2 linked regions of the Oryctolagus cuniculus genome follow. The protein of the gene in region 1 purifies or fractionates together with the protein of each later gene. This does not show direct contact. Links are inferred from orthologs where the notes say so. Each region holds a gene or a part of one and is shown in the gene's direction. Other genes may lie near its edges.

What was found.
Region 2: the proteins of CBX1 (region 1) and CHAMP1 purify together in Homo sapiens (affinity purification with mass spectrometry; 6 studies listed by BioGRID and IntAct, with this or other methods). This does not show direct contact. The link is inferred for Oryctolagus cuniculus from reciprocal best matches to the Homo sapiens genes CBX1 and CHAMP1.

What each region holds. Positions count from the first base shown.
Region 1 is NC_091448.1:24,353,206-24,356,516, reverse strand, and holds the end of CBX1 (chromobox protein homolog 1), read left to right. Parts: intron 1-2,580; coding exon 2,581-2,758; 3' UTR 2,759-2,811; downstream 2,812-3,311. UniProt on the Homo sapiens protein: Component of heterochromatin. Recognizes and binds histone H3 tails methylated at 'Lys-9', leading to epigenetic repression. Interaction with lamin B receptor (LBR) can contribute to the association of the heterochromatin with the inner nuclear membrane.
Region 2 is NC_091440.1:34,357-38,299, reverse strand, and holds the start of CHAMP1 (chromosome alignment-maintaining phosphoprotein 1), read left to right. Parts: upstream 1-1,143; 5' UTR 1,144-1,299; intron 1,300-1,470; exon of another isoform or gene 1,471-2,746; intron 2,747-3,943. UniProt on the Homo sapiens protein: Required for proper alignment of chromosomes at metaphase and their accurate segregation during mitosis. Involved in the maintenance of spindle microtubules attachment to the kinetochore during sister chromatid biorientation.

The sequences.
Region 1 (3,311 bases):
GCAGATGGAAGATCTCTGCCTCTGTAACTGCCTTTCAAATAAATAGATCTGAAAAAAGGAACTAGAGCTGATAGTGAAGCCTTAGTATCTTACTCCCTCCAGTGTTTGACTTTTGCATCACTTAGTGACAGGATACTTTCTGAGAAATGTGTTGTTAGGCGATTTTGTCTTTGTTGACCATCATAGTGTACGTACACAAACCTAGATGGTTTGACCCACTACACACCTACACTACTATACGGTATATACCATCATTCACACAGCCTGTTGCTGACTGAACTAGACAGATAGCGCTACAGCTCAGTGTTAACCTAGGAAGAGTCTTGGCTTTTGGTAATGGTAGCAACATCCTCGTATTTTAGCAAGGGGACAAGAAAGTTCGATAAGAGGTGCTTAGGACCCAAGACAAGTATCAGTCTACACAACTTGGTTAGAATTTTCTCCAAAAGCTCCTGATTTCCTAGCCAGTATGTTTAAAGTTGTTTATCTCCTGTATATGCATGACTTTTAATTGACCTTGGCCATGTAAATTTCTGTTGAATAAATTGAAATGTCAGAAGCAAGTGAAATCTGAAATAGAACCACCCTGGGATGAAAAGTTGAGCCATTGAGCCTGCTGTGTGTGGACAAGCAGAGTGGTCGCAAGGGGTTTTTGTTTGTTTTTGTTTAGGTCAGTCAGCTAGCAGAGGTAAGGCAAGGCTGAACTAAGTTGAGACTACATGCTGACAGTTAAACTTTTATGCTTTTTGTTCAGCCTGTGTTAAAATATTCAGCAGGACTAGGTCTGCATTTTTGATCTTATGGGTATGGTGGTTTGTGTTAGTACCAAAGCCCATTTGCCCCGGGTGGATTTTTAAATCCTGGTTGACTTTGATCAAGCCTACTATTTGCTTGCTGTTTGCATAGCCCAGGAGTTAGGGCAACATTGAAACCTGGCTGTGGGACATTAGCCCATTGTTTGAGTTACTGCCTTAGCCTGTAGCTGAGGACTGGAAGGTCTGAGTCAATTGTATTAACCTGAACTTGTATTTAAAATGAGGCAAAAGTGCCAGCTTGTGTTCTTTTCTACACCTCTCCCCAGGTGAACTTAGTTTTTTTTCCTTTGTTTGAAATAGCAACTGGAATCATGTACAAAGTGTTGTTCAGCCCGTCTCTATTCTGCAGTCTGGGAGCCAGCTCTAAGGCCTCAGAAGGAAAAGGAGGCTTCTATCCAGCTGACGTTGGAAACGGTTCCAGCAGGGCCCCATACTATCACTGCTCAGGGACAGTTAGAGCACTAGTTTGTTTCTCAGGTGATTGAGGCAGACCTGAACTCCAAGCAGCTTTGGACAGAACAAGGACTAGAAATGGTAGAAGTTGCACACATGTCCCCAGGATCCACGCATGCTCGTTCTCTGCTACAAAGTTCAGAACCAGAGGCGAGCAGGAGGACTGACTGCTGGGAGAAGCAAGCAGACATGCAAAGGGTTACTCTTGCTACCCTGACAAAACAAGTCAAAGCTTGATGGGTCCCCTTTAGTTACCAAGCTTGTTAAGTGAAAAAAAAACAAAACAAAACAAAACAAAAAAAAACAAAAAACCAAGGTTTAGCCATCCATGAAGATGAAGCCTGTGGATTTTGCTAGAGTTCCACAGTTGACAAGGAAATTGACTTCTGAGAGGCAGACATAATCCTGTACCTATGTTTATCCATGGATAGCATCAACCTACAGACTTCTTGGTATTCCCCCCGCCCCCCACTTCAGTAGGTCTGAGCTGCTTTCCATCAGAGCCCAAGGGTGAGGGTAGGAGACTTTAGGGAGGTGGGTATTATTTTTTTCTACAAGGCACTTGGTTAAACTACTTGTCCAAGAATCCTGAAGAGCAGCAAGGTCTGGTTTTGTAAAACAGGATGAATGAGGCCTGCCCCCTCAAAGAAGCAGGGCTCTATGGAAAGTAGCCTCCCATTTATGCATTTGAGTAGGTCCTGCTTTGCTTCCCCCAGCAAAGCTGAGGGAGTTAGCCATGGCGGCTAGGTCCTGACATTAAGTGATGTCTAGATCACTATTTACCCCTTAGCTTCATTGGGGAGATCCATACAGGGCAGAGGGTTAAACAGTGGGTCTACAGGGCTGGTGCTGTGGTATAGCAGGTAAAGCCACCGCCTGCCATGCTGGCATCCCATATGGGCACCAGTTCGAGTCTTGGCTCTTCCACTTCCTATCCAGTTCTCTGCTATGGCCTGGGAAAGCAGTAGATGATGACCCAAGTGCTTGGGCCCCTGCACCCAAGTGGGAGAGCTGGAGTAAGCTCCTGGCTCCAGATCGATCCAACTCTGGCCATTGTGGCCATGTAAGGGAGTGAACTAGCAGATGGCAACCTCACTCTCTGCTTGTGTAACTCTTTCAAATAAATCCACCAATCTTGGGGGGGTGGGGTGGAGTGGGCCTGCATCATCCCACATACATGCGTGGAAGTCAGTTTAAATGAAGCCCAGGTCTTCAGAAGCAAAGCAGGCTTGCCTATACCCAGCCAAGCAGGTCACCAGAGTGCTTGGCCCTTAGTTAACTCTAAGGTCTGCTCCTCTCTGCCCCCCTGCAGGACCTCACTCCCTGGATGCATGCATAGTGGCGGCAGCCCCTCCACAGGCCTTCCTGGAGTTCTCGCATCTTCTTGCTGCCAGGAAAAGCCTACAGGGCTGCAACACCCACTCTACCTGCCAGCAGCAAAAGGAGGTCAGCCCCGCAGCAGTGCTGACCAACCTGGCCCGAGGCCCTGACTAATCAGTGCGATCCCGGACAAAACACCTCTAAGGGGCCAATACACTCAGCTCCAAGCAGGGAGAACACCGCAAGGGAAAATGAAGGAACTGTGTTCAAACCTAAATTTCCTGAAGTTACAAAACAAGCCTAATTGTGTACCAAACAAAAACAACAGCAGCCTATTCTACACATCTATGAACAGAAAACTATTGCCTGAATTTTACTTGGTTACCCTTTAGGGTGGTTTCCTTTTTTTTTTTTTTTTTCCCTTTAAGAATCCTACTTTCTTCTGGTCTACGTCAGCCAACTCCAAAGTAAGAGAAAGCTATTTGACAACTGACCCTTCTAACCGAGTGGGAAAACCCTGTAAATTAAAGCATATGAGTAAGAAGTGAGTGTTTTCTTAGAGTTCCTCTCCATCTCTTAGGACAATCCTACGAGCATTAAAGGACCGAGATGCTGAGACGAACCAGATTACACAGGTAGCTGCAAGTTCATGATCACAGCCTGTACCTCTAGACTCTGCAGCTATGCCCAGGAGACTGCCAGGGGAGCACTGGCCACACACTC
Region 2 (3,943 bases), on another chromosome or scaffold:
CTCAAAACAATTAAAAAGAGTTACCATGGATCCAGTAACCCCACTCCTGTGTAAATATCTAAAAGAATTGAAAGAATCTCAAAGACATATTTGTACACTCACGTTCATAAAAGCATTCACAATGGCTAAAATGTGGAAGCAAATCAAATGACAGATGAATGGATAAGCAAAAGATGGTATACCCATACTATGGAATGTTTATTAAAAGCCTTAAAAACAGAATCTCTGCAGTATGCTACAACACAGGTAAACCTGCAGACATCATGCTAAAGTTAGCGATAAAAAGGTAACATTTCATTGATAGGAATAGTCAGATTCAGAGATGGAAAGTAGAACAGCCATCTTAAGGGGCAAGGCGGGAGGAAGGGAGGTACTGTGCGGTGGGTATGGGGTTCCACCGTTACAAGACGAAAGGGTCGGATGGTGATTGTTGCTCACTGCGAATGCACTTAATGCCATTGGACTATACACCTAAAATTGTTAAGATGATAGATTTTATGCGTATTTTGCCACAGTAAACAGCATCTCAGGGTAGACATCTGGTGCAGAGGTTGACACCCTATCAGGGTGCCAGGGCTGCAGTCCCACGGGGCTGGCTGGTTCCACGTGGGGGACCCACCGAGATCAGGGCGCCCAGTTTCTGGGCCTAGGTCCCGAGCGTTGTGGGCATTTGCGGGAGCGAACCAGCCCTGCGAGCCCTCTGTCAAATAAACAAGCATAATAACTTCTAAAGGAAACGAATGGAAGACATCTGGTCAGTCAACCTAGAGTGAGCTCGGAACCAGGTGCACGCACCCTCCCCGCTCGCGGGACGGAGGTCCGGGAGCCTGAGGAGAATGTTCGTCTCCGACAGCTGTCCCGGACGTCATCGCGGGCGCTGGGCCTGCCTTTCTTCCCTAACTCCACTCACACGACAGCACGAGAAACGCGAGAGAACGCGAAGCAGCACCGAGGCACGGCCCGCTCCGAGCCCCCGCCCACTCGGCCAGCTCCCGCGCGCCGGGCGCGGCGGCACTTCCGGGGCGGGCGCTGCGCGCGGCACTTCCGGGAGCCGCGCCGCGCCGCTGCTCGCGCTCGCGCAGTGCGCACGGCCGCGCTTGGCGATCGGCGATCCAATTGGCCTGCGCGGCGCCCCACTCGCCTCCCGGCCGAGCGCGCGCACGCCCGCGCCCCCGGCGCCGGCCCCTGCGTCCCGTCGCCATTCGGAGGCCGCGCCCGCAGGCCCCGCGGAGTCGCTGGCGCCCGAGCCGGGCCTCCCCGCCGGCCTCGCCCACCTGGACGCCGCCGCGGCCGGGACCGGTGAGGGGCGGGGGCGGGCGCGGGCGGGCGGGGGCGGGGTCCGCGCCGCGGACTCCGAGCGCGGGGCCGGCCGGTCCGAAGGCAAGGTCCGCCGGCCGCTGGCGTCCCGGGCAGCGGGAAGGACCCCTCCCCGGAGGCGGGCGTGGGTCGCCATTGTGCAGGGGGCGGGCGGGCCTGGGGCGTTTTGTGTAAAGCGGAGACGGGCTCGGTTTCGGCCCCCGAGGTGGCTGTCTTCTCGCGCGTGCGGGGCTCCTGCCGCTCGTTGTGCCCGCAAGCCCGCTAGGCAGGCCACAGCCCGGGAGCGGACGTTTGCAAATCCTAACTCGGGTGTAGGGTCTGTACCCGGGACACAGGACTGCACTGGGCAGCGCCGCGTCCGGATGGGTATTTGCCCGGAGACGACACCCGGAGGGCGGGTTAGCCGTTGGGAAGCTGCAGCTAACCCCCCGCGAGGGCGCACCTCACACCTGTTAGGGTGGCTGAACACAAAAGGCACTGGAGTGTGGTTGAGGAAGTGAAGTCGGAACTGGGCCCGTTGCCGGTGGAGCCCCGGGCCGACCCGCAGGGTGGGAGGCCGCCGCTCGGATGCCGACCCCGGGTACCAGCAGAGCAAGCTGAGGTGGTTACGTATCATCCCCAGAAGCAGTGAGCCGCTGATACTTGGCTGTGGGATGGATGAACCTTTAAACATGTTAAGTGAAATAAGACACAAAGGGACAAACACGGACGATTTCTTCCACTCAGGAGACCAGGCTGTGGGAAGCAGGGAACAGGATTGATTGCGATGATTAAAGAGTTCTGGAAATGGATCTTGGTGATGGTTGCTTATACTTAACGGATGAAGTTGTGCTTTAAAAAATGATAAGTTTTTGGTTCAGGTTTCCCGCACTTTAAAAAGGTAGAACTACAGAGATATTGAAAAGACTGGTAATTGTTAGGAACACAGGGAATTTTCATGTTGGTGAAATTACTGTGACTGTCATGGTACATGTGTGACTGTATGTCTGCCAAAACCCATGAAATTGCAACATGAAGACTGGCTCCTCTAAGCTGTTAACCCGAGTTAATAACAGACCAGTGTTAGCCATCCCAACTGCAGGATGTTAAGGAAGGCTGGGCAGGGGATTGGGAGGATGTATTGGGGGTTTCTCTTCTTTCTGTTCAGGTTCTTTTAAACAAAATTACTTGAAAAATAGTGTTTAAAAGTCAAAGCGGGGTGCAGAATAGTGCTGGTGTGTGTTTAGACGAATAGAACCCTTCAAATGTGCATGACATGTTGACTTTTTTATTTAAAAATCTACATGAAAATATACTTAAAAAATGACCAGTGGTGTTAGATTTCAAGGAAGAAATTGGATGGGAAATGGGAATTGATGTGACAGCACCTGGACCAGCAGTGCGTTGAAGAATTCTGAGTGATGGGCTGGCAGAGCATTGTTTCAACAAGGTACAGCCTGTAGAGACAGAAGAGAAAATTTCATTACCCTGGACAATTTAGACTTTTTGTCTGAAATTAGAAAATACATTGACTAGAATCTTCCAGCTGGAGGGACTCAATTCTGTGACTTCGCTGTGTGTCCTGTGCTGAGGGAAAGGCAGCCTTGCTGTTACAGCGGAGATCTAGAACCAGGAATCCAGGGTGTTCCTTTGCTTCCTCTGACCTAATCCTTATCTCTGACAGGTCGCTTGTCTCAGAATCAGCTTTCTCAGTGGTAAAATGAAGAGGTTGGTCTCAAGTCCTGTGAAGATCAGTAGCTTCTAGTCACGGAGTGTTACCACTGGACCAAGAAGCTTGTCTAGTTCAGGATGGAGTAATTTGTTTTCTTACTGGCTTCTGCTTGTTGCTTCTAAGGAGACCTTAGACAACATTCATAATTCTTCCCCCTTTGAAGTGAAATGTTTGTATTCACAGACATGTTTTTAAAGACTGCTGCCATCATTGTTGCTTGCTGCTGCTTTTTTAAAAAAATGTATTTTCATTTATTTGAAAGGTAGGGTGGGAGAAAGGACATATCATTTTAATCTCCAAACTGTATCTGTGAATTACATTGAACCTGATAAAAACTTAAAAAAAAAAAACCAGAAATTAACAAATCACAATAATGAAAGATCCAGGAAAACTCAAGATACTAAAATTAAACCACATCATCTAAATAAAAAAATGAAGGTAGTGCAATAGAAAGATTTTCCATTCATTAGTTCATTCCCCAAATGCGCACCACAGAATCTGGGTCTCTCATAGGGGTGACAGAGACCCAACAACTTGAGCTATTGCTGCTGCATCAGCAGGAAGCTGGAATCAGAGGCAGAGCTGGGACTTGAACCCAGGCAGTCTTGACATGGAATGTGGGCATCTCAAATGGAACTTTTTTTTTTTTTTTTTAAATTTCATTTTATTTATTTGGGAGGCAGAGTGGCAGAGAGATGGAGAAACAGAAAGAGATCTTTTTGCTGTTTCATTCCCCAATTAGCTGCATTGGCTAGGGCTGGGCCAGGGTGAAGCCAGGAGCTTGGAACTCTATCCAGGTCGCCAACATGGGTGGGAGGCACCCAAATACTGGGGCGTTTCCCCCTGCTTTCCCAGGTGGAGCTGGATTGGAAGTAGAGCAGATGGGACTCAACTGGTGCTCAGATATGTGATGCC